7 linked regions of the Kluyveromyces lactis genome follow. The protein of the gene in region 2 purifies or fractionates together with the protein of the main gene of each other region. This does not show direct contact. Links are inferred from orthologs where the notes say so. Each region holds a gene or a part of one and is shown on either strand. Other genes may lie near its edges.

Region 1 (4,123 bases), on a different chromosome or scaffold from region 2:
CGCTATGAATCAGAGACAAAAGTTGGAATTAGATGATTTTGAAAGAATGGAATCTATTCAAAATCATCATTTCAACAAGGTCAATAAGGATTATAATGATATTAAGGAAAAGCTTGAAGAATCCGAAAAGAAGCTAAAAGATGATGACGTTAAGGTAAAAGATTTCCTTGAGGAATCAGAAAAGAAGCACAAACAGATTGAATTCATAGATTCAGAAATTAATGATTTAATGACAAAATTAGGGTCTAAAAGCGAACCACATAAGGTTTTGAAGGGTTTACTAGAAGAAATTTCAAACTTGCAAGATGCCCGCGAGAGAGAAAAACGAAATTCGGAGTCTAAATCTTCTGAGAGAACATACATGCAAAAGGAGATAGAAAGAGCCGCTCAATCTGTTGATGAAAGCAACAAAGAACAAGATAAATTAAGAGAAGAAATCAAGCTCTTGAAAACGAAAATAGAGGACAGTGTAGCCGAAAATAAAAAGAAGGTTGCCAGTGCTGAACAGAGAATAGATCTCTTGAAATCACAACTACAACAGGAAGGGCAAAATCTTGGAGGGCTTCATTCTAAACTTGGATATATAACTGATAGACTATCGAAAATTCAACCCAGCAGAGGAAGACAGGCGACTAATGGCCGATCGAAGAAATGATACGTAATTTTAACATCCATAATGATTAACGTTTTTACAAATTTGCGTAGAATTAATTAGACTCCCCATTTGTTAACTGAGCGGTCCCAACCCGCGCTATATATATCAGGACCTACAATATCAATTGACATAACCTTATCAAGATGCCCTTCAAGGCTTCGTTCCTTTATCCAGTTCCCATCATTGAAGATATTTACTTTCTTGTCATATCCACTCGACACTAAATATCCTCCGTTTTGCTTATTGAATTTGACTTGTGAAACAATGCTATTGTGAGCTAAGATCGTTTCCACATTTCCCTTTTTCCTAATATCCCAAACCTTTATAGTCCCGTCACCACTACCAGACGCAAGCTGATATCCATTTTGGGACCAGTCAACGGAATAAATAGGTTTTGAGTGTCCCTGTAATGACATGATATTTTTACCGGACCGTATGTCCCATATTAATGCAATTGCATCCAAACCAGCTGTACTCACCAATGAGCCATCATTGTGAAAAGATAGTGAGAAAACCTCCGCAGAATGACCTTCCTGAATCAAAATAGGGGCTTGTTTCACAGTATCTATCAGGATCCATGTTTTGTCAAAAGACGTACTTCCAATAAAACTATTACATGGATGGCATCGTACTTGGGCAAACCTGGCATCATTTTTATACAAGATCTTAACTGTGGTTTCATCACCACTATCATATATTACAATGCGTCCATCATGGGTACAGACAAAAATGTTTTTAGAGTCCACGCTCCAATCCAATCCACTAATCTTTGTGCCAGATAAAGATCTATTGCAGTAGATTTTGGACAACGAATTATCGACCAGAGACAAATTTCCGGACCAACTGCCACAAGCCATCAGGTCTCCACCAGGAGAAGTATTAATTTCAGAAATAGGTTTCTCATCTATCACCTGCATTCCCTTCAAAGAGAACTGTTTCAATTTACTTTCCAGGTCCCTTCGCTTACTTATGACGTTTTTCACATTTTGGCTGACAAGTCTTCGTCTCTCCTCCTCAAGCCTCAGCTTAGAGCGTTGCATAGAGTATATTATAAGAAACTTCCTCATTTCTATCAACTGCTGTGATGCTGGAGTGTAGAACTCCTCGTCTTCATCATCTACTTTACTTCTTTCAGTATCGATTTTCGTCTGGTCTTTGGAAGTTGACTCTACTAACCTTGTAACTCGTTCTCTGGCTTTTGGATCGCTAAGAATAAGATCAGAAAGTCGATCTCTGCGAGAATAATTATCTTCGCCAGCGATATCAACGGGCTCTCCCACTAGCTCTAGTGCTCGTCTAACGTCTGTATCTAGAGTAGGCACAATTTTGAGCCTTTCTTGCCTTTGGAATTCCAATCTTTTCAGAGCATCTCCGACTGATTGCCCATCCTGGTTTTTGTAGTCAACATCTACCTGCAAATCATCTAATTCTACCATTAGAAGTTACTGCAGATAGTCCAAAGGTGAGTTGTTACCGGTGCCACTTTTTTGATTTCATCTCTTTATCATCTCACTTCTTTAAAAGCATATTCATAAAATGAACTTTATCGTTATTCCTGAATATGAATAGTTCAAAAGTTGGAAAACAAGTGAGGTACTCCATCGAGTAAAAAGGGTCTGAAGCTAGGCGTCGATCGAACGATCATGAGTGAACAGCAGTTGTTAAGAGATAAACACATTGATTATATTGCGTCTTTAGATACTAAGAAAGATGATCTAGAGTACTGGCTCTCAGAACATCTAAGGTTGAATGGGGTATACTGGGGATTGACAGCCCTCTATCTCCTTGATTCTATCGAAACATTCAATAAGGAGGATGTAATACAGTTTGTCCTAAGCTGTTGGGATCATAAAACTGGTGGGTTTGCTGCGTTTCCAAGACATGATGGTCATCTATTAACGACTCTTTCAGGGCTTCAGATTTTGGCTACTTACAACGCTTTAGAGCGCTTGGGTTCAGAGAAGCAAGAACAATTGGAAAAATTTATCCTATCCAATCAAAAAGCAGACGGCTCATTCCAAGGTGATAGTTTTGGTGAAGTCGACACACGTTTCGTATATACTGCATTGAGCTGTTTGTCCATTTTACACAAATTGACGAAAGAAGTTGTAGAACCAGCAGTTTCGTATATCCTTAGATGTTACAATTTCGATGGCGGATTTGGCTTAAATCCTGAAGCAGAATCTCATGCTGCTCAGGCATTTACTTGCATTGCTGCTTTAGCAATCGTCGGAAAATTAGACTCTTTAACTCCAGCTCAGCAGGAGAATATTGCTGTTTGGCTCTCAGAAAGACAAGTTCCAGAGGGGGGCTTAAATGGTAGGCCAAGCAAACTGCCCGATGTATGCTATAGCTGGTGGGTATTATCAACACTTTCAATACTCCAAAAAGCTGATTGGATTGATTTTCCCAAGCTAACGGAGTTCATTTTGCATTGTCAGGATCCCAAAAATGGAGGGATTAGTGACAGACCAGACAACGAAGTCGACGTATTTCACACGGTTTTTGGTCTAGGAGGATTAAGTATAATGAAGTATCCAGGATTAAGAGATATTGATCCAGTATACTGTATGCCATATACGGTGACGAAATATTTCCAACGCAAGTACTCAGATTAGTGTCTTAGAAACTTAAATAAATTATGAATGCTAACGACCGCAAAAAGTAGGTCCACAAGTAGTTTAATATTGATAAATTAAAATGGTAGCTCTTCCTCTACTAGAACCTTAGAAGCAGGGAAGAATTCTATATATTTGGCAGCTCTTTTGTGAATAAATCTACCGGGGTTGATCGTTTTGCATCCGTTGTACGTTACATCGAAAGCTGGTGCGCTAGTGTCACACAGCATGATACTCGATGGAAGCGGTGATAGCTGCAATGTGAAATCAAGATCCCAAACAGTTGGTCGAATTCTTGATGAAAACGGAGATAGATGTTGTTGATCGAGCAATGTTTTCACCAATTTCCTCGATTCTAAAACACTTACAGGCAAATTATTCTTGAATGCGATTAACTGGCCTACTGAAACATCCGGGTTTCTTGAATATTGCTCTTGAAGTTCTGCATTTTCCAGATATTTCTCCTCTTCCACAGTAGGGAAAACAATATTGTATCTTTTAAATCTATTTGCTAAATCATCGCGTGTCAGAACAATCTCTTGTGATAGATATGCAATTCTTAATGGGTTAGAGCCCCAATGCACTTTTCTACAAATTCTACTCATTTTTTGAGTAAATGATGATGGAATTATTTTTTGGGGCCACATAGTAGTAGTACCTAGTCCAACCATTGATGTCCACGGATCATTTGGACCTGGAATAAAAATCATATGTGTATCGTTGATCAAATTTTCGTAATTGCTTAGGAGAGTAGCCAACGCATCGAAGTTGTTTTTATACGAAACGGTTGCACTCACATTCTTTGCGTTCAAGCTTGGATGAACCGGGACGGATACAAAAGAACCATTAA
Region 2 (3,002 bases):
CATGGACTACGATCTTGTTCCTATATATGGCCGAGTCAAGAAGTTCGCTGGTAGAGTTGGTTCACTATGGAGAATGCTAAGTGATTTGACTTGGCCAGTTACATCATACACTACAGGACATGAGTTTAATCGTGGTATATGGAAATCTTTTAGAGACTACAGGATTGAAGATTTTTGGATTTCATATTACTGTAACTCGACGAATATTACAGAGTCAGTTCAAGAGATTCACTCATCAGGTTTTGCATGGCGTTATATTAGAGCTTCTATGTCACTTGCGGGCCTTCTTCCTCCAATTGTGGATAACGGTAATATGTTACTAGATGGAGGTTATGTCGACAACTTACCAGTGACCGAAATGACACAGAGAGGTTGTAAAATTGTGTTTGCAGTAGACGTTGGATCAGTCGATGATAGGACTCCAATGTCATACGGAGACTCTTTGAACGGATTTTGGATTGTTTTAAATAGATGGAATCCATTTTCGAAACACCCCAACATTCCTAATATGGCGGAAATACAAATGAGATTAGGATATGTTGCTTCTGTCAATGCCTTAGAAAGGGCTAAAAGTACACCAGGTGTGGTGTACATCAGGCCTCCTATTGAGAACTATGCGACTTTGGATTTTGGTAAGTTTGAAGAAATATACCAAGTAGGCTACGCGTACGGTCATGACTTTTTACAACATCTGCAAGAGAAAAACGAATTACCGCCAATTGCGGGTACCACAACTTCTGCTTATGCCGACAAAGAAAACATGTTACAAAGACGGAACAGTATATAAAACGAATTAACAGGAAACGCTACCCACATTTGTCGATGGTGGACATGCAGGACATAAAATCAAAGCCATGGCAATTAACGTTATAGTTTCTAAGTAACTGTAAACCGAAAGTTAAAAAAAAATTGAATAAACTAAATATATACTATACAAATGTTAGCGATGGATGTATATTGGGGGCAAAATGAGGATAGCTCACATCGCACTCAATCAATAATGAGGACATGAAGTTATTTCTTCGAATTTCCCTTATTAAATGTTGAAAGAAGAAGAAGGATACTGGACAATCATTCATCTTCTGGTGTTGTTACAAGGGCCACAAGACCACCTCTAACGAAAATCATTTCCGAAAACCTTTCGGTCGTTTTCAAATCTCCTTCTACTAGTTCATAAATGGTTTCCTTTGAATCTGAAAGAACAATATTACAATGTGAGTCGAAAGCCTGAAGAGTACCCACTAATTCACGAGCATCACGTAATTTCACATATACTCGCTCGTCTAAATTCAATTTTAATAGATCCAGAGGCGTATCAGACATCTTTGCGGCGTAAAGTGTGTATGTCTTCTATATTTATGATGCAGTCGTATTCTTACAATAACCAATAATGCAATTGATAGAGGGTACAGCAGTTAGGTTGAATGGTTTCCTTTGTCAGTTTATCAAATGGAGTACCAGGTATAGTAGAGTAGTCGATATACAATCCAAGGCTTAGTTCCATTCACACTCCAGAGCATCCTCCATAACATACTTAATCACCAAATTATTGTTAACGTACTAATTGATAAAAAGTGTTGAAGTTTTGAATTTCGATGTCAATGGAAAGCTCTGAATTATAGAATAATCAGTTAAACCAGGGAAGGTACACGTTTCCAACCATCTTTGAATGATACTGTACCTGTTGAAAGATGGCCAGGATATGCGATGCTAGTTTATCATCTTATTGCACTATGCTTCACTAAGAGAGTCAATAGTCAACCTGATATTCACGTGACTATCACATGACAAAGGCCGGGCAACCTAATGACGGACCCCGAATCAACTCTGTTCGATCAAAAAATTTTTATAACATTTAAGCAGAGGAAAGCTGAATAGGAATTAAAACATGGATGAATCAGCTAGCTGTCGTGATATTGAAGTGTTCTACCTCGATTGAGTAGCTGCAGGACGTGTTTATTATAGCAGGGATATTATATTTTCAAAATGTTCCCAGCAAGAAGGGGATTGCATACTACTTCTAGAGCATGTGCCAGGACGAGATTCACCAAACCTAAACCCAAACCAGCCAAGAGAGAGAACGTTAGACTACCTACCCAGAGGACCCATCACGATAATGATTTAAAGATTACAGCTCCTATTCCACCGGCTGCTGCCAATTTGACATGTCCAGATGATCATCCTTTATGGCAATTTTTCTCCGAGAAGAAGTTTTTAAGAACGCCCGAGGAATTGGATACGCTTTCGAGACCTTGGACCATCCCAGAGTTGAGAAGAAAATCGTTCACTGACCTACATTCTTTGTGGTACACATGTTTGAAAGAACGTAACGTATTAGCACGTGAAAACCATTTGGTGCAGTTCAACTTTGAAGCACAAACCGAAGCATACCAAGATATCTCCGAAAAGATCAGAACGACAATGTGGAGAATAAGACACGTCCTTAGCGAACGAGACTGGGCATTCAAGATAGCGAATGAGAAATTTGCTGTTGAAAAACAAGTATTTATCGAATCATTCGAAAAAGACTTTTTAGAAGCTCCTGCTAACGAAGATGAAGAGATTTTCGAATCATTGCAACGTTTTCAATATGCCATATACGGTATCTCTGAGTACATCGATGAGAACAAAGTGGACAGAACATTTGTGGATGGATTGAAAGCGGTTGCAACATTGAAGTTAAAGAAATTTGCACTAAGAAACGAGGACATCAAGAACTTTTTAGAAGAATCTAACAATACAATTGTGGATGCAGGTGAATCCTTCCTTCTGTATACATCAGAAAACACAGAATCTGCCATCGCAGAAGCATGTCAAGCGGTAAGGGAGTTGAGAGAAAATGGCTCCTCTGTGTCTAGATACGATGAATTGGAAACTGTTCAAGAATATGTTAATAAATTAGCTGAGGCTCAAATGGCAAAGGTAACAGAAGCGGAAATACAGCTGCAAGAAGAAGATGCAAAAAACAACGCTAATACACTATGATATTAATGCCATCGAAG
Region 3 (4,212 bases), on a different chromosome or scaffold from region 2:
GTCGCGATTGGAGATAAAGCTTTAACAGAATGCACCAAGGAAACTGGAATCAAAGATGTGGATTTATGAGAGGTAATATGCCCTACAAATTGGAAAATACCCATTGGGAAAGTTGTATACCATATGACTTTAGATGGTACCAGGAAAGTGTTTAATATGCATCTCGAAAATGATCCATTCAAATAAGTGGGTAGAATTCCTTCCGGGAAGTTTAGAACTGTATTCTTCAATTTTGATGAAGATACCTGTGGTGCATGCAAATAGTTAGCAAACGTTACAAACGCGAGACATAGCGATGCGCTTAGAAGGAACTGCAATTCCGTTAAACCAACAGGATGTGGAAATCGGGATAAAATGGCTTTTGACAGGTTTGATGAAACAGAAGAAGTCATATACCATATAAGGCATAAAATAGATATGTGAACATTCACTTCCGGTAAATACTCTTGTACATCCTTGGGAAATAGATTGACAAATTGCTCTTTCCACGTCTGATTTTGCAGTCTTCTGACCTCATTGAACGAAGTTGAATGTTTATGAGACCTGTAATTTTCCTGGAACGGTATTTGTACCTGGTTGACAAAGTTAACATCTGAAAATGTTTTATTGATCGAAGGACGGCGCTTCGAAGTGACGCTCTTGGAAGTTACAATCATTTTTCGCTTATTTTATTCACACCTTCTTAAAATCAATAAAGCGAGTGGAACGAAGTTGAATGAGAATAATTTAGCAAACGATAGAATAGATCGAAAAGAACTGTTACTTTATGGAGCGAGCAGCGATTTTAGAGCCGACTGTCACTATGTAAGAAGTATCTCTTTCTATTACAAGTCGCCAAAAATTGATGCCATGTTATTATATTATATATTTCCAGTCTTTTTTCTTTCTTTCTGACCGATGTGATGTTTTTGCTTGCTGACGTTGTTAACGTTTTTTGGCAGTCACGTGGAAAGCCAAGCACAAAGGGTTCTCTGCAGAATGGTGCTAGCTCGTGATTGCTGTGGGCAGAGCAAGACAATTTTCTAGGAAGCGTCAATTCAAAATGCCATAGGTTTTAACTCTAATTACTTTGAATAAGTGTGATATGTAAGGTTCTATAGTCCCAAGTATGAGTCTCTTTCCAATTGTTTCTTTCTGTCCGCCATTTTCTTCCGTTGTCTTTCCAAAGTCTTCTTACTGGATTTTGTCCCATGCCATGCTTGAGAAAGTTGTTTATAGGCCTCTTTAGTTTTCAACTCATTACCCTCGGAATCCTGATATGCGAGTTCGACCGTTGGGTTGTAGTCTCTTAGTTTTTCCTCTTGTATACGTTGAATTTTCAATGCCATTTCTTCCGCTTGCGCAGCTTTAATCTTACGCAATTCGTCCTCAGAAAAGTTTACATCATTGGAGTCCAACTTTTCGTCAACAGTCTTAAGGGAATTCACAATGCCGTTTAAGATCTCAAACTCTTTCCTGACATCCGTTCCGTGTTTTTTACTGTCGCTTCCCATATTGGGGCGATCGTCTTGCTTAATTATATTTCGTTCCTTCAAGAAGTTCAACATTCCTGCCACACCTCCTGAGAAATCAGGTTGCGTGATATCGTTATCGGTGACTAATGTTGCTGGAATAGTTCCCGTTTTATCTTTTTGCACTGGTTTCAAATCGATTTTTATGGGCAAATCATCATTAACAGGTTCTCTGTCAAGAACGTTCGCCTTCAAAGAATCCAAAAATTCATCGGTTTCATCCAGAAGAATTCCTTTATCACTATTGTTCAACATATGAATTCCTTTGCTTCTTTGCTGTCCTTCGAGTTTTTCCAACTCCAATGAATTCTTTATCCCTGTTATTTCCTCATTACTGCGTTTCTGTTTGACTTTGACAACTGCCTGAATTGGCCGGTCTGAGAAATCCTCATCATCTTCCAAAAGATCAACTTTCACCATTCTCGCTGTGTCTATTCTTCTCGGTTTCTGGTTTTGATTTGATTTCTTCTTTCGCCTTTTAATCTTGACTGGTGCGTAATCTTGATATGGTTGCTCATCATCTGAGTCACTTTCAATTTTGACCCTCTTAGGGAGAGACTGGTGAACAGGTAATGGTTTATCATTTACTAAGGAGTCGTGTAATGGTATGTCAGATCTTGAGTTTGTATCATTAGCCTCATCGCTGTAATCAAAGATGGAGATTTTGTTTAGTTTTCTATCTTTATTCAATTGCCGTAGCTTAAGATTTTTGGCATCCTGTTTATCATGAACTAGCTTCTCATTCTCTAATATGTTTTCGTCATCAATATTCTCTTCGTCGTTTGTCACTGAAGTTTCTTTCAATGTAAAAATGACTGCTTTCTGTTCAGCAATAGATTTCAGTTCATCTGATACTGGGATATGGTGATGCGTAATGTCATCATGTACAGTAGCATTTTCAGCAGAAGATTCTTTGTGAGTGATAGGTTTCCCAATTTTGGAAAGCCAGTCATCAATAGATTCTTTATCAGTAGTCGCTCTTTGGTCCACTGCTTCCTTTGATTCATATATTCTTTGTTTTAGTTGACCAATCTTTTTATCACGATCTTGAGCGCTTCCATTTATTTTTCCAGAAGCACAATCCTTTTCGGAGGGACGTGAACTTAGCTGACTAGATCTTCGTACTTTCCTATTTGTATCAGATGCACCTTCTTTTGATTCTGTTGACGTCTCAGTGGGCCTAGGTATAGTCTTCAAACCTAAACTTGCCCTAATTCGATTTGTTTCTTCCAAAGATATAGAAGTAATCTTACCCATGGCTTTGAAGTAACTGTATGCCTCGTAGAATTCGTATTGTGGTCGAATATCCTTATTATCAAATCCTGTTGCTTTCTTTCTGCCTCATCTCATCGCCAACTTGTCCGAATTTAAGAATTGTATATTTCAACATTTTCATCAGTGAATATTTTGATGTAACTATCAAAGCCATTGACGATGACAATGAGAAGAAGAGTACAGCGTATGACAATAATTCAATTATTATATTTTGTTTGAATTTGATACAGACTAATTTACAGAGGTACACACATAGTATGTTCGTATGTAATGGAACAGATTTATACGAGGTTATTAGAGATTTAATGCAAAAGAGTGGGGTTTTAATGTGAATACTATATCTATTTCTTTTCCTTCTTAGATTTCTTATCCTTTTTTTCTTTCTTTTCCTTCTTTTCCTTCTTTTCCTTCTTGTCTTTCTTCTCCTTCTTAGACTTCTTAGATTCCTTAGACTCTTCATCATCGTCTCTCTTTCTCTTCTTATCCTTCTTATCCTTCTTAGATTTCTTTTCTTCCTTGGTTTCTTCCTCGTCCTCGGATTCATCATCAGAGTCAGCAGGAGCAGCAGCTGAAGACACGGTGTCAGCATCTGCGTTGTATGCTCTAGCCTCTGTGATTTCAGTCTTCTTGTGCTCACGGACGACCTTTGGTGTGGTTCTCAAGTCTCTGCCTTCTAATTGGGACAATCTTGATTCTACCTTAGCTCTGGATTCCAAACCGATGTCACCAGAATCGTCTCTATCTTCAGCCAAAGCATCGTAACGCAAAGAAACGGCAGCCTTAGCAGCCAAAACTCTGGCAATCTTACCCTTGTTCTTACCAGATGCTTGGCCAACCAAGGAAGCGTGGTACAATAGACCATATTTAGGAGTGTCATGCTTAGTTTTCAATGCTCTGAAAAGAGCCTTTTCAGCACCCAAGATTTGGATGGTGGAAGCTGGAGACTTGGCCAAAGAGATTAAAGAACCAGAGTGTGCGATCAATCTAGCACCAACCAATTCACCAACTAATTGAGTCAAATTTGGAGCAATAGCCTTCATTCTTGAAGACAAATAGTTAGAAAGTTGTTCTCTGTAGGCAGCAAATTCAACAATTTGTTCGGCTAAACACTTGATATTAATCAAATCAACTGGGGTAATTTCAGTACCCATGGAGACTTCGGCAGCGGTCTTGACTCTCTCTTCAATTTCTTCAGGCAAAATTTCAGACATGTCAGTTTCAGCAGCATTAACTCTAATACCCATGGTCAAGATTATTCTGGCGTAAGCAACAGAATCAGTAACAATCTTGGCCAATTCTGGGAAATGCCAACCGTACCATTCCTTACATCTCATAGCGTAAGTGTTTAATTCTTTATCTAGATCGTCTAGCAAAGCAATAGCTTGGATGATCATAACATCAACTTTATCAGCAGAGAACTTCAATT
Region 4 (3,987 bases), on a different chromosome or scaffold from region 2:
TTCGCGGAGCTAACCCTGTCATTCATTTCTGAGCTTGTCACAATTGAAGAAGTTGCACAAAAGATTATAGATAACGGGCTCTTCTCTGTGTTCTTGGAAAGTCCGATTTCGGTGTCAATTCAACAATCTGGGGCTCGCCCAGAATTATCACCAAGATTGCATAACATATGGTCCAATGGCATCATATCGATTATTCTTCAACTATTAAGTAAATTCGGATCTGGAATACTTTCGGAAGTGTGTCTATTTGTTTCATATTTCTCCAAACAAATAGATCTTGCTGTGGGGGGCTGGTCGTCTGACTCACTGTCCATAACTCAAGCATATATCCAGGAGACTTCCCAGATAATTCTTTTGCAGAAAATGCTAGATAAACTTGAATATCAGCGTTATTTGTCTGTTAATGGTTCCAAATTGAAGGTCATTGACGAAGAAGAGATAATAGAGTTGTTCCCTGGTTTAGACACTAGCTCTGAGAGAAACGATTTGGCAAATGTATTGAAACATTTGTTAACTCACCCAAAGTATATGAATTCTCGGATCATCGCGACAACCCCAGACAAACAAAAGATGATGGAAGATGAGGTCTATAGAAATCAGCTTCTACATTCTATCACCAAGCAAATCTCAGAACTTCAATCATCCTTGATGTCAGATTTATAAACAGGTAGGTTTATATAGTATTAATATTATTTAGATAGAAATAATTTTCTGAAGTCATCATTGCTCAACTTTTTGTCATTTTGTGACGCTTGCTGTGATTTAATTTCCTTTACAACAGCGTGCTTTGGTTGATTCAAGGTTGTTTTGTGTTCATTGGGATAATGAAGGGAAAGTTCATGAGCAGAAACACATTTCAAAATTCGGTTCTTGAACTTGTATCCATTGATTGCAAGTGAAACTTTTGCGGTAATTGCTTCTTTGTCCGCTATTATTAAAGCACCTTCATGATCAGAGACCAGCAAAACCTTCGTAATATCCGGAGGTCTAATTTGAGCTTTCTCCGTAATGAAAGCAAGAATTTGATCTGGGGTAATCTGATCAGACAATGGGTATATTCCGACAACTTTTGGGTTTTCTTTTCTGGAAGCAAGCAGACGCTTCACCTCTTGTCTTTCTAGATAAGCCTTTCTCATAACTTTTGAAACGTGTAATGGCTTACCGTTCATTACCGCTCCATTTAATGACAAAGCATTATCTGCACTCGCTTTGTTTTTGAATGTTATGAACGCATATCTGGAATGTCGTCCAGGGTTTGTTTCATCACCAGTTACTATTCTAGCTTTTTCTGTATCACCAAACTCATTGAACATCTTTATCAAATCATCGATGGTAATATCATCTGGAAGGTTCTTAACTATTATCTCTCTACCATCCGATATGGCATTGTCAGTCCTTTCAGTTCGTTCGTTGACATTCGATATTTTCGCTACTAATTTATAATTGTTGATCTCTATCCCATTGAGCCTATTTGTAGCTTTCTTTGCCACTTCTGGAGAAACTAAATCAACATATGCAAATCTTCTTCTTGAATTGAACGCTAAGGACGGCAATCTAATACTCAAAATTGGTGAATCAATGTACTGCGATAGTAAATTTCGAAGCTTGCTGGCATCATACCCAGGTGGAAAATTGGTGACCCAAATCGTAGAATCTGTTAGCTGTTCGACAGTTATCTGATGGAAGCCAATCTTTTTCAAAGTCCTGCTCACTGCTGTTAGGGCTTGATCATAGGAACTAAATTCAATCCTTGCCAATTTTGAATCCCCATCTGTTGAATCTGTAACATCTATTTGTAATATCGAACCACAAGTTTTGAAATATCTTCTAACCTTATGATGATTATAATTTGGAGGCAAGTTCTTAACTAAAACAGTGGTATATTCGCGGTTATGCGTATGTAAATTCTTAACTTTTTTCAAGGTAGCAGCCTCCTCTACAGAGACATTTTCGTCTTCTGGGCGTCTCTTATTGTTTTCTGCATTCATAAGTGTACCACGTGCGATTAGGTCAGTTCATAAAATCAACTGGTTCGACCTGCTACTAAGGTTGCATCAGCTCCTATCACGCAACCTTTAAATTGATTGATACTATTGCAGTTTAAAGCCTTTAAAAACTTTGAATATCAAACATATCACGTGATATCTTCATGGAAAGATGTTTTTCCTCAGACGAGCATGACAACCAGTATCCTGAACACAGAATATCTTCGGTGATCGCAAGCTTCAGGTTCTCTGAAAACTTTACAAAGTCTATTTTGGATGGTTATTGTCAATAGAATGCTAAGATGAAATGATATATAATTGATGGACAAGAGCTAGTAAAATTCTATATTCATTATGCGTGAAAGTTTTATATCTTGAGTTAATATAATACATTGATCGATGAAGAGACGGTGCGCTTACATTTCTGTCCATTTTCATTAGTAGTCATTATTTTGGTGGTAAAAGGTCTAAGCTTCGAAGTGATGGCAACTGCACTGGCTTATTCTGATTCAAACTGGGTAACAATCCTTCCGGTGGAGGACTGTGCGTTGGAGTGCACAGTAAACTTGAAAAATGACTTTGGAAATAGTAATCTTTTTCGTCCTTACTGTTCCTTACCGGCAGTTGATCCATCGATCTAAGCCTTGAATGAAGTTCATCATAAAATTCTCCTTCTGTAGCTGAGCCGGAACTTGGTGGCATTGTAGAACTAGGTCTCATGATGGGCATTATGGCTTTTGATTTCTTAAGTGGCCGGCCATATGCATCTTCTGTACTCATATCCTCATCTTGTGAGATTACGGTTTCTTGCTTCAGTAGAGTAGATATGCTTACAGTACTTGAATTTCTTGAATGTTGATCTATCAGTTGGTTGAGACTATTGGATGACGAGAATCTGGAGTTAAGTGCAGAGGAGCTGAAGCCCGATGGTGATTGCTGTTCCGACAGATTTGTCCACGATCTGGTTCTAGGCAGACCGTTACTTATATACTCGTTATCAACAAACTCGGTCAATGGTCGGTTGGGTGCGGGATGGTGAAGATGTACTAGATTCTGTTGCGAATGATTATATGACTCTGAATTTTGAGACAAGGGTGTCATTCTTTGTAATGATGATAAAGCAGAAAGCTTAGCACGTGAAGCTGGTCTTGGTAACAATAGTCCGCTACTGCTGTTGTTGATTGAATGAGATGTAAACGAAAGTGACGGAGAGGATGAAGATGAAGTCAACGGTAGTTTATCAATAAATTTGAAAGAGGATGAGGCTTTGTCAGACTCAAATTTTGCAGCATTCAGCAGAAGGTCTATGTTACCACTATTATTCTGAGATCTAATAGGTGGGACACTATATATACCGCATTCATCCGATTCATCGCTACCGAGATCAAACATTGGCTTCGACCTCAACGATTTCAGAGGTTCAGTAAATGTTGAACCATCTTGTTTAATCGAATTAGTGGATTTCAGAAGTTTGTGGTTTGGTTCTATGACATTAGCGCTCGTTCCACCAGCAGAATCAACAGCCGCAGAGTCGTTTGCGTTTCGTTGTTTTTGCCGCTGCAATTCTAATTCCTTTTCACGAGCTATCGTCTCACTCTTCTTTTTCCTTCCTCTTTTCCCCTTTGGTTTATCACTGTCATGTATCCTTCTATGTCTTGTTAGTTCATCGCTTCTACTAAAGCGTTTTGAACATCCCGGGAAATCACATGCATGCGGTCTTTCCCCAGTGTGTGTTCTGATGTGCCTAGTCTGATGTTCCAGTCGATGGAATCCCCTTTGACATATGGGACAGACGTAAGGCCTTGGTCCATCCTTGTCATGATCATTGATAGACTTCTTATGATTTTTTTTCTCTATAATCGCCTCTGTCATTGGTGCTATAAGTTCCAGATTCCTTTCGTATCAGTCACCAAATAACAAGACCAAAAACCAAAATAATATGGAAGCTTGCCTTGAAGTATTACAGCAGAAAGACCCGTGATATGGTCAAACAAACGGAAGT
Region 5 (3,775 bases), on a different chromosome or scaffold from region 2:
GAAACCAGAACGGGTGCGTTTATTCATCTCTGAAAGTATACAGTTTTCCGAGGTCATACCAGCCCACACTTTTAAACATGCATTTTTGCTTTCATTCATTTTTTTTTTACTATACTTCAATATATGAGTACATTATATATATTTTGTTTGGAATGGGTTCATAAGTTAATGCTATTGGAACCAGTGGCATCAGCAGTATTATCTGAATCCACGCCAACGGTTCTCCGGCCTTGAGATTGCAAAGATCTTTTTAATTTTGTGGACGCCGATTGGATGTCACCGGAAGATACAGTGCTAGCCCTGTGCTGTTCTTCTAGGTCCAAAGCTTGTAGCCTTTCGTTATAATTATCCAATACTTTTCCATTTTCCGCTAATGAGTCTTGGAATACTTGCAAATCCTTCTCATCAATATCATCATCGGAAAAATTCCCTTCCGCGTCCAATTCTTGTCTGTTCAATACCTCTTCACCCTTAAGCTTGGCAACGTACGCTTCTAACCTTCTGTTAGATCTTTGTAAATGCTTCACTGCATTATTGATCTCTTTTCTGATCTCTTGTAATTCATGCTCAGACGATTCTCTAATAGCAATCACGAACTCTTGAATCTGAATTGGTCTACGAATACCAGAAGAATGTGCCATATTTCTATGTTAAGTCTATCCTTAGCTATGTATGTTTTTTCACTTTTTAGTCTTGTTTCGGTTGGAAAGTACGAGATGAATTAAGATCGGTATCCTTAACTATATATTCAAGCTAGCCTTTTATAACAATAATTTAAGCCAGAGTTTATTCTCTTACTATTTATACCCAACGGTAAGATATCACGCCCCACATATGACACCCACCCCTCCGAGGCACCATCATTGCAAATCAGAGTGTATGATGCGCACGTTACTATGCTGACTTTTTCCAGCTCCAAAGCAACACTACTTGTTAAAAATCACATCAGCTTTTCTGCTTTCCTTTCTCCTGGGCTGGATTTCCCCGCCTAAGTCCTTCTCTGGGAACTGAACTTTGTCCCTTTCAGCAAAGAGTTGAGAAACTCACGAGGAACACAAAAACAACGAGAATTAGGGGCCGCTTATGTAATTCTTTTCATCCCATAAAACAGAAAAATTGTGCTGTTTTGGCTTCCACCCATACACTACGCACAATCAGGGGTTGGTGCAATTTCGGATATATTACCCGGGCATGGTGAATTTCATCATAGGCGTTACAGAGTGAAGATGTGATTCAGATTCTATATGAGAGAGAGTTCATTGCGATGCTAGAGAAGAGATGGACAAAAGACAAATGGTGATGTGTAATAGTAACTACGGATTGTCTGGAATAATCGGCCCTTTGTACAAAAATCATATCATCATATAATGGGCAATGATAATAATACTAATAGAGGGTTAAATCGGAAATTGCATTCTGCATTGAGTGTTGAGAATGTCAATTTATTGAGATTTCAAGGTAGACGTTGTGGAAACCCATACTTGCAAGACGTACAGGCTCATGGTTTTGAGCCAAAGGCAAGAGTATCGTCTCATTGGTATGAACCGGGAGAGGTTGTCCAGCATGCTGCAAAATTAAGACAAGAGAACCGTGAAAAGTCTGAAGAAGAAAGAATACGATGGGAAGCTGAACTGGAGAAACAGCAGGAAATCGAACGGAAAATAGAAATAGGGGAACTACCTGATAAGCATGAAGAAGTTTATTTTACCGATTTATCGGACGTTCCTGATGTGGAATGGTGGGATGTTCCATATATCAAAGATGGTAGCATCCATGAGAAATATAGTTTGGATTATTCCACATTGAATTCGGACGATGAAAGTGATGATGAAGAGGAAGAGGAAGAGGAAGGTGCACAAGATAAATTCCCAAGTATTAGGTATATTCAACATCCGGTACCGATTGAAAGGCCTAGGGCAGCTGTTCCAGTGGCAGAGATTTTCTTAACGAAAAACGAACGGAAAAAGGCCAGAAGGAATACGAGGAAGTTGGTACGACAGGAGAAGGAGGAGAAAATCAAGCTTGGTATAGAACCAAAACCAGAGCCCAAGGTTAAATTATCGAATATGATGAATGTGTATGAGAATGATGCCAATATTGCGGATCCAACTCAATGGGAATCCATCGTACGGAGACAAGTGGCAGAGAGGAAAAGGAAACATTTCGAAGAAAATGAAATAAGGCATCAAGAAAGCCTGAAACGAAGGAAGGAATCCCAGTTACAAGCACACAGCAATGATAGTCCTCTAGAATACACGTGTGTTGTTTACATGTTTGACGAAATACAGAATCCTAGTATCAGATACAAAATCAAAACCAACGGTAAGCAATTGAAGTTGAAAGGATGCTGTCTACACATTCAAAATGGCAAAGGTATAATTGTAGCTTTTGGAGATGAAAAATCTATCCGCTTTTTCGATAAGTTGGTGACAAAGCGAATCAATTGGTCGGAACCATACAAAGATAGAGATACCGAAGAGACAGTACCTTGCGACGGTAAAATTACAAAGGTTTGGCAAGGATTAATTGGTGATTGTAGATTCAAGGGCTGGTTCATGCTCGATTGTAAAGATAAAAACCAGTTAAATAATATCTTAGAGCAGCACGATGCATTGACTTTTGTACCATTAGGTAAGTTTTAACAAACAATTACGTACTGAAAATGAAATCCAAGTTCGAAATCATCAAAATTTTGGAATAAAAGTAATAGTGTATGTTAAAAAAAATAAAACCGGAGTAAATCCAACGACCTACTTAGAACATTTATTTACATGGGGTGAGTAGGCAGTCCAAGTGACGCACAATGGTCAACATTATTGAGTTTTATCACTACCAACATCAAAAAAAAGTCATATTTATATAAATAATATCTCCCTTCGTCTCTCAAAATTCAATCATCAATAACAGAGAAAGATACTGGCTCATAACATCGTTCTTTAAATTTAATTCTGGTGTAACGTTCGAGACCTTTATTCGACGACCTTGGCCAAGATTTCAGAGTCTCTGAATAAAACGACTTCATCATCCTTGCCCAACTTGATTGTGGATCCACCGAATTGTGGGATCAAAACTTGGTCACCTGGTTGGACAGATGGTGTAATCTTGTTACCGTTGGAATCGGTGAAACCTGGACCAGCAGCCAACACAGTAGCTTGGTTTAATTTCTCAACGTTCTTTTCTGGCAAGTATAAACCAGAAGCAGTCTTGGCTTCGGCCTTGATTCTTTGCACCAGAACACGGTCCAACAATGGAACAATAGATTTAGCAGACTTCAATAGAGTGGACATTTTGACCTATTATTATAGTGATTACTTCTTAGGGGAAGAATATCAATCGAGGAGGATCAAGGATCTTGTACAAACGCTGACTTTGATATAATCTTGGCACTCTATTGTTGAAAAAATGTCGAATCCTTCATTTTGTAAAGTGTGTAAGCTTTATAGCCTTTTATAAATTTCAACTTTCATGTCAGAAAGGTTCCCGTTTTCGGTGATGCTAGAAAATTCCATGTGGACAGTAAACTACAAACTACTGAACATGGCAATGATGCGGGCTAAATGACTAGCTGGTAGTGGGCGCCGCTTTGGAGTTGTCAAAACAATATATAGAGCTTAAACAATGGTGGTTCACAGCATGTTGAAGTCACAATTCATAGGGCCTTATGTTGCCGGAAGGGGGCAGTAAGGGAGGAAAGGAAAATAAAATGTTGTCCACGTGACTTACAATTTTTTTTCATGAAATTTAATCACTCCGAACGTCTTTTGGCCCAAGTTTT
Region 6 (4,037 bases), on a different chromosome or scaffold from region 2:
TGTGTAATCATTTCGAAATCCTTATGTTTCGGTTTCAAACGTCTTTTCCTTAGAATATTCGTCTCTTTCGTCAGATAACCCTGCCATTCGTTGGTAATTTGCTCAGTACCCATCAGGTTCGACCTTCTTTGCTCTTCCAAATAGTTGATCACTTGTCTGGTACGTTCTCTTCTGCTAATCACATAGTCGAACATATCACAATAATAATCCAAGAAATACATCTGACACACGGAAACCAATCTCTTGGATTTAGTCTTTGAGGACTTCTTATAGAAATCTTTGGGTAGTTTCTTTGGCGACTTGGTAATGTCTGCCGTCAAATCTCCCTGAGTATCATCGTCGATATCCATGAGCGAGTTTTCAGGGTTTTTTACTATCGATCTAGTAGGAGACGGAGAACCACGTATTCTCGTTGGAGTGCTTGGGGGATCTAGCATAACTTTAGCATCCGTATCAAAACTGAAATTGACCATATCGTCGACCAATGCGTCGACCTCCTTGTGACGACCATTCGCATCTCTTGTAAACATTTCTTATTTTAAACTGTGTGATTGAAGTATGTAAATAAAACCGTTAGTGCTTCAGGTCAGACACGTTACTTCTGACTTGACACAATGAATTATCGGCAGATCTGATCGAATAAGAGACCCTAAAGTTCAATGGTTAAGTTGTGTTCTTTGTTTAAAGTTTTCAATTCGAACATTGGATCATCTTTTTGTGTTTTGGTTTTGCCATAATAGGAATCGTAATTACAGATCTATGAATAGACATATACAGGGTATAAAAGGTACACGGCAGAACTATGGTGTCTCACAACCGTGGTTGTTTGCTGGTGGCGGGGTCCGTAGCTTGTGGGTGCTCTGCACTACGTTTGAGCTTTTCGGACCTCTCATCCTGTAGGAAACTGTGCGTGTTTTTAGTCTCTTGATCTAATCTTAAACGCATAGATTTACGCATTTTGGTCTTATTGAAAGAGGACAATGCGGAAACGTTCTTTGAATCGGCCATCCCGAACCCTATTTCTTCTCCGTATGGGTCCATGGTGGTCTGTTCCTCTTTACCGAACTCCATTCTGTTTTGCATTTGCCTTAGATGCGACATCTTGAACTGTTCTTTGTACTTACGGAACCTTCTACCAGCTCTTTTCTTCTTTGGAGCGTCTTCTGGGATCGGCAACGGCTTGATGTTACTGATATTCGGCGGATCTATTATCTTCTTGAGTTTTTCAACGATTTCATGCCTCCATTTCAAGCCCAGCTTCGAGGCATCTGAGTTCCCATCTGAATTCCCATCTGGGTTAATGACTTGATTCCCCATGGTGCAATCCGCTCTCGCAGCAAGAGCAACCTTGGCAGAGACCATTCTAAGCGCCTGTTTCTGGAACTCAGGAGGCTGTGTTTGTACCACGTCTGTATAGAATAGATATCCCTTTTGTCGTACCCCAGAGATATCTAACGATTTGCCATGCAACGTTTTGTCCTGGCCAATGGATGCCAAATTACAACTGGGAACCACACTTAGTTCTTTAACACTACCACAATGTGTTACCAGTTTAGCTGCAGTATCAGGTCCCAATAAAGCACATAAGTTTGGAGCTACCATTTGTATTCTTGTCTCAACATAGTGTGAGACGTTGTCCCGTAAGTTGTACAGAATATCGAACCAATGGATGGCCTTGGAGAGGAGATCCTTATCAATTCGAGCACCCTCTTTGAAATCTGTCTTTAGAGACATAGATACCACAAGGGTTTCCTCCTTCGATAGCACTTGGTCTAATTGCACGTTGGGAATATCCTGTTGCAGCATCTTGACCACGTCGACGTATTGTTTCCTTTCAGGGACAATAGTTTCCAACCCAGGGAACTTGGCCTTGTAGGTATCTACAATGCATTGAAACACCATGGAAAGCTCTGTATCGAATAAAGGCATCAATTGGCCCAGTTTTATGACATTGTAAGGCTCTGTCGTATGGTTTGTTGCATCTCGTATTATAGTTTCGTGCTTGGCAAGTTGGATGAGGTCATCTAAATCCGCGCCTTGGTGCCAGAATTGCGCGTGAAAGTCAGATATTAGGTTGCTAACACTAGGAGAGGGTAAAATATCCGATTCTGTGGCTATACCACTGGTTATACCACTGGTTACACCACTTAACCCATCATCCAAGCTTTCCTCATCGCTGACACTTCCATAATCTTCGTCATCTAAAAGGTCCATTATCACCTTGTGAAAGAGTAAGACAGGGGAATATGGTTATCCAGTTACAATCCAACTGTAAAATACCACATACTGAACTAACTGAGGATGGTCAAAAGAGCAGTAATCGACTAGTACCTGCTCTCGAGTAGCTATCTCATCGCATTTCTACCAATCTTTAATCATATATAATCACTCTATACGATGTGATCTTTTCTTTTCCAAAAATTTTTCAGTTCTTTAAAGCGATGAGATGAGCTTGAGATGAGGTATCTACACCGATGAGACGGACCTTGACCAGTGTCATAGGGCTTTTCTGAGGTCGTTTGAGAGCTCAAGAGGTAGCATAAACGTAGCAATACAATTGAAAAAGGATGTCCAATATCGTTGGTGTTGAATATAACCGTGTGACGAACACAAGTTCAACAGATTTCCCTGGATTTAGTTCGGATCAAGACAATTCATGGGACTTGGAGAAGTTCAAGGAAACTTTTGACGTACAAATCGAGAGTTTGGATGAGCGTGAAGTGAATTTCGATTTGGTTCATGTCGACACATCGATTGCTAACGCTTTCCGTCGTATTATGATCTCAGAAGTACCATCTGTCGCTCCAGAATACGTCTACTTTTTTAACAATACGTCTGTGCTACAGGACGAAGTGTTGGCGCATAGAATCGGGTTAGTGCCATTGAAGGTGGATCCAGATATGTTGAGTTGGGTGGACACGTCATTGCCCGAATCTGAAAGGTTTACAGATGAAAATACGATAGTGATGTCGTTGAACGTGAAATGTACCAGGAACCCAGATGCTCCAAAGGATTGTGAAGACCCCAAGGTTCTTTATAGAAACGCGCATATCTATGCTAGGGACCTTAAGTTTGAGCCTCAGGGGAAACAGGTGGAACAATTTGCCAAGTGTCCCGTGGTGGCAGCGGATCCAGATATCTTGTTGGCCAAGTTGAGACCAGGTCAAGAGATTTCGTTAAGGGCACATTGTATTCTAGGTATCGGTGCAGACCATGCCAAGTTCTCTCCGGTGTCGACAGCTAGTTATAGACTATTACCACACATCCAGATCACACAGCCTATCACCGGTGATGATGCCAAGAAATTTGTGAAATGTTTCCCTAAAGGTGTCGCAGATGTCAACGAGAAGGGTGAAGCTTATATCAAGGATCCAAGGAAGGATACCGTGTCCAGAGAGGTGTTGAGACACGATGAGTTCCAGGGGAAGGTTAAGTTGGGTAGGGTGAGAGACCACTTCATCTTTAACGTGGAGAGTTCTGGTGCTATGACACCGGAAGAAATCTTCTTCAAATCGGTCAGGATCTTGAAGAACAAGGCGGAATACTTGAAGAACTGTCCAATCTCACAATAAGAAGCCAATTCGCATGTTCTCTATTTAATATCATCCACTCCCTTCCATACACAGACAAACCGTGCATCATAATTCCATTTCTTTCATTCCCTGTATCATACGCATTAAGCCACTCAGTGAACAGATTAGGCACTTATATATATTCATATATAAAGAAGCCACTACATCTAAACTAGTTTAATGTACATTTGTTTTTAGATTCAACTGTGTTACACCATCGCATCTACATTTGTCGGTTCAAACGTCTCCTGATCCTGCGCCATTGGCCGTGCTTTGGTTATAAGATTTTCGATCATGGCTTTTGGATCCACTTCGAGTATCAAGACGTTACCATTATATCCGTCACTCAGATCACTCTGGGCTTTCTGTGTATAGGTTTCGTCCGCGACTTCGTGATCTTTGAATGGTGAGATGGATAGTACAGTTACGAGGAATAGCCCTACTTGAAAGAATAGAATTAGCAGT
Region 7 (4,967 bases), on a different chromosome or scaffold from region 2:
AGAGATTCCAGATGCAGGTGACATAGATGAACGATCACCTTGTAAAATATCAGAGATCGGCGATAGATTGGTAACTAGCACATCTCTTGGACTTGGTCCGATAGAAGTAGGTGTATTTTTCAACTGAACCGACTGAGGACTAGTGATTACGTGTTCAGAGGAAAGTCCAAGCAGAGTAGCAGTACTGGGCACTGAATGCGGACTTGGATGCGCTAGTAACGTCGAAGGAGACAGAATATGTCTGCTACTAGCTGGGAATAGTGGCGGCTGGCTTGCCCTGACACTTTGGGTCGGTGCTGGTGCCTCAGGTGCCGCACCTTGAGACACATACGATGCTGGAGTGAGACAATCCAAACTCTCATTGCGTCCCTTGCCGAACGACATACTTTTTCTGACCTATCAGTATATATATATAACTTCCCTGGTAAAAATGACGTGGACCTCGGCGGGTATTTAAGACTCTCAACAGCTGCTATCGATGTTTTTCACTTCACCTCCGATCCCTGTCGACTACCAATACTCTTCGCAATTTCGAAGTTCCATTTTGGTTGTTCGTTTTCAAATTTTCAAATTCCACTGGAAAAAGTTCTCTTTGATAGATATAAGAGCTGACTCTTTCATAGCAGAGAATCAGATCACAACGGAAAAATACACAGAACTGCCGCATATACTGGGTTAGTTACGATTGAGGAACGGAACTTCTGACAATGCGGAAAGTCAATTTACAGTCGCATCAGTGTTGTCCCAATTTTTATTATTACAATCTTACAATCTTACATTCTATCTAATTATTGGTGTAAATTGTTGATAATGCTGTGCAAAATATCAATCGGAGAGTTTGATATGTGTAGGTATGAGTTTACTGCGGGCTCCCATAGTATACCGTACCTGGGTTCATTTTCTTTCAATTTCTTTAACGTTTTTTCTTCATTTATTTGCAAATCAACTGGATTCATGCACGACTCGCAGATGTAGAGCCATACCCATGGGTCCCCAAATTGAAGATTATTTTCCGAGGCTCTTATGAACCATTTATATGCCTTCGCGTATTGGTGTTCCTTTTGGAACACTTTTCCGATCTCAGTTATCACCATTGGATGCTCTTTTGTAGCTTCGAGAGCATCTTGGAATGTGGTTTTACGTAGTGATTTTTTAGGAAGGGTTCTGATGTTTAGACACCAGAGCCTCCAGCTGTGTGGACACGCTTTGAGACCCTGAGCGATGAGGTACGTTACTTGTTTGTTATCTTTCACTTGCAGTTCCAATGTAATGAGAGCCTCGTAGAGTGTATCGGATTTTGGATTCTTTAGTAGAGAAACGCTGAGTATTGAACGCGCTTTGCCCCAATCTTGTGTTTCCATTACCAGTCTGGAGAACTCCAAGCACACTTCTGGATCATGATTAGAAATATCCGTAGCCCTCTGTAGCACACGCTTCGCTGATGAAAGGTCCCTTTGTTGCCTGTATAGCTGTGCTTTCAAGATTAGTAAATGTTTGTCGTTTGGTTCACGTGCCAAAGCTATATCAACAGTAGAATGAGCTATTTCCAAACTGCCTTTAGATTGCAAACACTTAACGTAAAAAGGAACTAATTTATCAATGCATTCTACCAAGTGTGATTCGGCTTCTTCAAAGGAATTTATAATCTCATCCAATTTGCCATCTCTGTTCAAAATTTTGAGTTTAGCCAACCAAAACTCAGGATACGCCGAATTTGTCACCAGAGCTTTATCTAAAATCGACAACGCTTCAGTGGAACCAGAACCCCAATCCCAAACGTCTTTCGCATACATTAAAACCAAGACAGGGTATTTCTTTACCGCTTGAGAATCTGTAAAGAGGATCTTCCTGAATGTTTCGTGTAGCTCTAATTTCCGCGAAAAGTCTTCGGCGAAATTGGTGAACTCCTTCCAAATAGAGTACTTTGTTGGATATTTGATTAGGAAGGAGGAAAACAAGGTACACTGAAGTGTGGTGTCGTTTACCAACAGCTTCGAGAGACTTTGGAAATTTGAGGATGCGTCTTCAAATAAGTTATTGATGGTAGCTGTGATGATTGCTTTCGCTGTTAATGGATACAATCCTTCTGTTGATATAGCGACTGCATTTTCGAACCACTCAGTAATAGTTGGATTAACTTCCAGTTCATGAAGATCCTTTATTGCGCTAGAAATGATATTTACCAACGTATCGAGATTTGCGGTCGTTCTTTTTTCTTCGAGTTGACATTTGAGAAGCCAGTATGTGATGTCTTTTTTAATATGTTCTTCAGCAGATTTCAAGGTGTCCACTGCAGATTCGACTGATTGTAACCTTATCAACTTCAACCATAACTGCGAATCCTTCGGCACTAATTCAACTGCTTTCTTCAAAATTTTCAGCTTTTCAAGAGTGGAAGTTTCAAGATTTACCGCCACTTCCCATAATATAGAGCTTAGTGGTAGTTTAATTAGAGCCTTTCGAGTGACTTTAATTTTATCAGTATTGTGTTGTTCGAGGGCGATTGCCTTCAACCACAACTGCTCACTAAACTCGTTGAGCCTTAAGGCAACTGTAACCAACCTCTTGCAATATTCTTTATCGGATGCGTTCATGCGTATCGATTCTAACCAGATAGCTTCACTTTTAGGGCACAGTTTACAACCTTCCGCTAGCAAACTTTTGGCTCGATTGAACTGATTGGCTCTTTCTTCGATTCTTGCTGAAGAAATCCAGTTTTCTGGATTTCTTGGATGGGATTTACGATACGCGGCTAATAGGGATCTGTTTTTCCTAATGTCTTCCAAATCCGTAGATGAAATAGTGTTGTCATCTTGGTTCATTCTATTCAAGTATTCAGCATCATCCGTAAGTTGACTTTTGCTGTAATCAAAACTCTTATCTATCTGGACAGCAAGTAACTTTTCCCTCTCTTCAGTTAACTTGGATAAGTTGACATTAACCTGGAACAAAGTGTCAGGAGCAGCGAATGTTTTCCTTTCAAGTTGTTCCTCTATTCGATTCCTTTTGTTTCGTCTGGTCATATCAGATGCGTCAGGGATATCCAGCCAGTCTTGCTCAGAAAGAGTTGCTAAATTACGCTTCAAATCTACAAATTTAGAAGATAGCTTGTCTGGTTCATCATCTGGCTTCGTCTTTAGGCTTGTTTCATTGTCGATAATTTTTTTATTCTTAAGTCGCTGTTCGATCTTTTCGTACACTCTCATCTCTTGTTCGTCTTCATCTTTAACCTGTTTCTCCGATGATTCATTCGAAACTGCTGATCTGTATCTATTTGGATTCTTTGTTACAGAAGTATCTGGTGCATCTCGCCCATATCTATTCAATCTAGCAGGAACTCTTTTATCATCTTTACTTCCTCTGGTGGAAAAGCCAACCGCTCCACGACCTATACCAGCGATGTAACCAGGTGGTGGAGATTGTTTTAGGAAACTGGGAGTCTCCATGCCTATCACCGTGATAGTTGTTTACTCAGATGATTTACTAGTGAATAGTTTACTGTATGAGATGTCCTTTCGATACAAATTTTAAAGGTTTTGTTTTTAAAGATATTCTACAGATTCTTAAAACAATAGAGAATAAGCGTTGATAGAAATAAATATCGATTCTGCTTAGAAAGAATTAAATATGCAGGCTAATATATGAGGAAATTTGCAGAATCTATAATACCGAATATGTTCTATATTTGTAGCAGATAAACTATTATCTAGCTAGTGCACAAACAATTAATTAATGAAAGTTCCTAAAAGGCGCTGAGGCCATGAGAAAGAAAATATCAATCTGATGATTATGATAATTGGTAATCTCCACCGTAACGTGGTGCGTTCAAGATGATACCGTTCAAGATACCTGCAATGAGACCAGCCATTGGAAGAGTTAAGAACCAACCACTGTAACAGAAAGCGACCATTCTCCAGTTAACGGATTTCAAATCCCTGTTACAAAGACCAACGGCCACAATACCACCGACAGCAACTTGAGTAGTAGAAACAGGAATACTTAATTGTGTTGCCATAACAGTGGTAACAGCAGCACCAAGTTCAACGGAGAACCCTCTGGATGGAGATTGCAAAATCATCTTGTTACCCAAGTTCTTGATGATTCTGTAACCGTATGTCCAACAACCGAGGACCAATGCAGCGGCACAGTATGCTAAAACCCATGTGTGAACGTCAGACTTAGATTCCACAGTGTTTTTCTGCCAGATGTCATACACGGCAGCTAGTGGTGCAGTGGCGTTGGCAACATCATTGGCACCGTGAGCAAAAGACATAGTGGCGGCGGTAATAGCTTGCAAGATAGAATAGATGAATTCGATTCTGTTGTCATAGAAGGCAGATCTCTTGTACATGTCCTTGAAATCTGTTGACAAAGCACCTGTATCGTAGACCTGAGAATGAATAACATCTTGAGTCCAACCGTGAGAAGCAATCAACCAAAGTAATAGAGGCCACTTCTTTGGTCCTTGTTTTAGCAATGACCACCATAGCTGTTTGGTAGTTGGTTTTTCTTCTTGCAAAGTTTCTGTTTGCACCAATTTGATACTTTGGTTGACAGATTCCTTGTCGTTAATTTCAATATGTCCCTCTACAGTATCTCTTCCATCGGCGGTGTGGGAAGTTTCAATTTGGGTTTCATCATCTCCGGCAGTTTCATCTTCGAATCTTCTACCTTCGTAGTAATCAATGGTTAAAGATTGTCCAGCAGGTAGAGGTGGAATGTCGTCAGTGGACTTGAAGTAGAAAGTTGGGCCTCTGTAAATATCATACCATTTTAGGGTCCAGTCTCTGTGCAAGATTCTTCTTCTGTAGTATGGGTACAAGAAGATGAAGTAAACAGCACAAGCGACTAGACCAGTAAGAACAATAGCCAATGCGGTAGTTGTGCCAGACAATTTATCCAACTTCAAGTTTGGAGAACCCTTCCAAACGATCAACATAGTCAACACCGAGAAGGTAGCGAACACC

Evidence for each region.
Region 1: the proteins of LSM3 (region 2) and PRP4 purify together in Saccharomyces cerevisiae (affinity purification with mass spectrometry, with the first as the bait; 4 studies listed by BioGRID). This does not show direct contact. The link is inferred for Kluyveromyces lactis from reciprocal best matches to the Saccharomyces cerevisiae genes LSM3 and PRP4.
Region 3: the proteins of LSM3 (region 2) and SNU66 purify together in Saccharomyces cerevisiae (affinity purification with mass spectrometry; 3 studies listed by BioGRID). This does not show direct contact. The link is inferred for Kluyveromyces lactis from reciprocal best matches to the Saccharomyces cerevisiae genes LSM3 and SNU66.
Region 4: the proteins of LSM3 (region 2) and PRP24 purify together in Saccharomyces cerevisiae (affinity purification with mass spectrometry; 6 studies listed by BioGRID, with this or other methods). This does not show direct contact. The link is inferred for Kluyveromyces lactis from reciprocal best matches to the Saccharomyces cerevisiae genes LSM3 and PRP24.
Region 5: the proteins of LSM3 (region 2) and PRP3 purify together in Saccharomyces cerevisiae (affinity purification with mass spectrometry, with the first as the bait; 4 studies listed by BioGRID). This does not show direct contact. The link is inferred for Kluyveromyces lactis from reciprocal best matches to the Saccharomyces cerevisiae genes LSM3 and PRP3.
Region 6: the proteins of LSM3 (region 2) and PRP31 purify together in Saccharomyces cerevisiae (affinity purification with mass spectrometry, with the first as the bait; 3 studies listed by BioGRID). This does not show direct contact. The link is inferred for Kluyveromyces lactis from reciprocal best matches to the Saccharomyces cerevisiae genes LSM3 and PRP31.
Region 7: the proteins of LSM3 (region 2) and PRP6 purify together in Saccharomyces cerevisiae (affinity purification with mass spectrometry, with the first as the bait; 3 studies listed by BioGRID). This does not show direct contact. The link is inferred for Kluyveromyces lactis from reciprocal best matches to the Saccharomyces cerevisiae genes LSM3 and PRP6.

Annotation. Positions count from the first base shown.
Region 1 is NC_006041.1:426,246-430,368, reverse strand, and holds PRP4 (U4/U6-U5 snRNP complex subunit PRP4), read right to left. Parts: upstream 2,092-4,123; coding exon 712-2,091; downstream 1-711. Other genes in the region: HDA3 (Hda3p), read left to right, coding at 1-655; Rab geranylgeranyltransferase BET2, read left to right, coding at 2,299-3,273; DPB2 (DNA polymerase epsilon noncatalytic subunit), read right to left, coding at 3,351-4,123. UniProt on the Saccharomyces cerevisiae protein: Involved in RNA splicing. Is required for the association of U4/U6 snRNP with U5 snRNP in an early step of spliceosome assembly.
Region 2 is NC_006038.1:468,250-471,251, reverse strand, and holds LSM3 (U4/U6-U5 snRNP complex subunit LSM3), read right to left. Parts: upstream 1,324-3,002; coding exon 1,072-1,323; downstream 1-1,071. Other genes in the region: NTE1 (lysophospholipase), read left to right, coding at 1-787; MRPL4 (mitochondrial 54S ribosomal protein uL29m), read left to right, coding at 1,987-2,985. UniProt on the Saccharomyces cerevisiae protein: Component of LSm protein complexes, which are involved in RNA processing and may function in a chaperone-like manner. Component of the cytoplasmic LSM1-LSM7 complex which is involved in mRNA degradation by activating the decapping step.
Region 3 is NC_006042.1:798,496-802,707, forward strand, and holds SNU66 (U4/U6-U5 snRNP complex subunit SNU66), read right to left. Parts: upstream 2,769-4,212; coding exon 1,095-2,768; downstream 1-1,094. Other genes in the region: SLY41 (Sly41p), read right to left, coding at 1-656; RNA-processing protein NOP58, read right to left, coding at 3,128-4,212. UniProt on the Saccharomyces cerevisiae protein: Component of the U4/U6.U5 tri-snRNP particle, one of the building blocks of the spliceosome. Required for pre-mRNA splicing.
Region 4 is NC_006041.1:966,675-970,661, reverse strand, and holds PRP24 (U6 snRNP complex subunit PRP24), read right to left. Parts: upstream 1,989-3,987; coding exon 690-1,988; downstream 1-689. Other genes in the region: NUP188 (Nup188p), read left to right, coding at 1-663; transcription factor MIG1, read right to left, coding at 2,433-3,857. UniProt on the Saccharomyces cerevisiae protein: Functions as a recycling factor of the spliceosome, a machinery that forms on each precursor-messenger RNA (pre-mRNA) and catalyzes the removal of introns.
Region 5 is NC_006041.1:826,877-830,651, forward strand, and holds PRP3 (U4/U6-U5 snRNP complex subunit PRP3), read left to right. Parts: upstream 1-1,367; coding exon 1,368-2,642; downstream 2,643-3,775. Other genes in the region: TMA17 (Tma17p), read right to left, coding at 159-641; HSP10 (Hsp10p), read right to left, coding at 2,970-3,287.
Region 6 is NC_006040.1:1,252,558-1,256,594, reverse strand, and holds PRP31 (U4/U6-U5 snRNP complex subunit PRP31), read right to left. Parts: upstream 2,215-4,037; coding exon 811-2,214; downstream 1-810. Other genes in the region: KLLA0_D14905g (serine/threonine-protein kinase), read right to left, coding at 1-530; DNA-directed RNA polymerase core subunit RPC40, read left to right, coding at 2,568-3,572. UniProt on the Saccharomyces cerevisiae protein: Promotes the association of the U4/U6.U5 tri-snRNP particle with pre-spliceosomes to form the mature spliceosomal complex.
Region 7 is NC_006042.1:396,090-401,056, reverse strand, and holds PRP6 (U4/U6-U5 snRNP complex subunit PRP6), read right to left. Parts: upstream 3,447-4,967; coding exon 789-3,446; downstream 1-788. Other genes in the region: LYS14 (Lys14p), read right to left, coding at 1-384; PHO89 (Pho89p), read right to left, coding at 3,788-4,967. UniProt on the Saccharomyces cerevisiae protein: Participates in pre-mRNA splicing. Part of the U4/U5/U6 tri-snRNP complex, one of the building blocks of the spliceosome.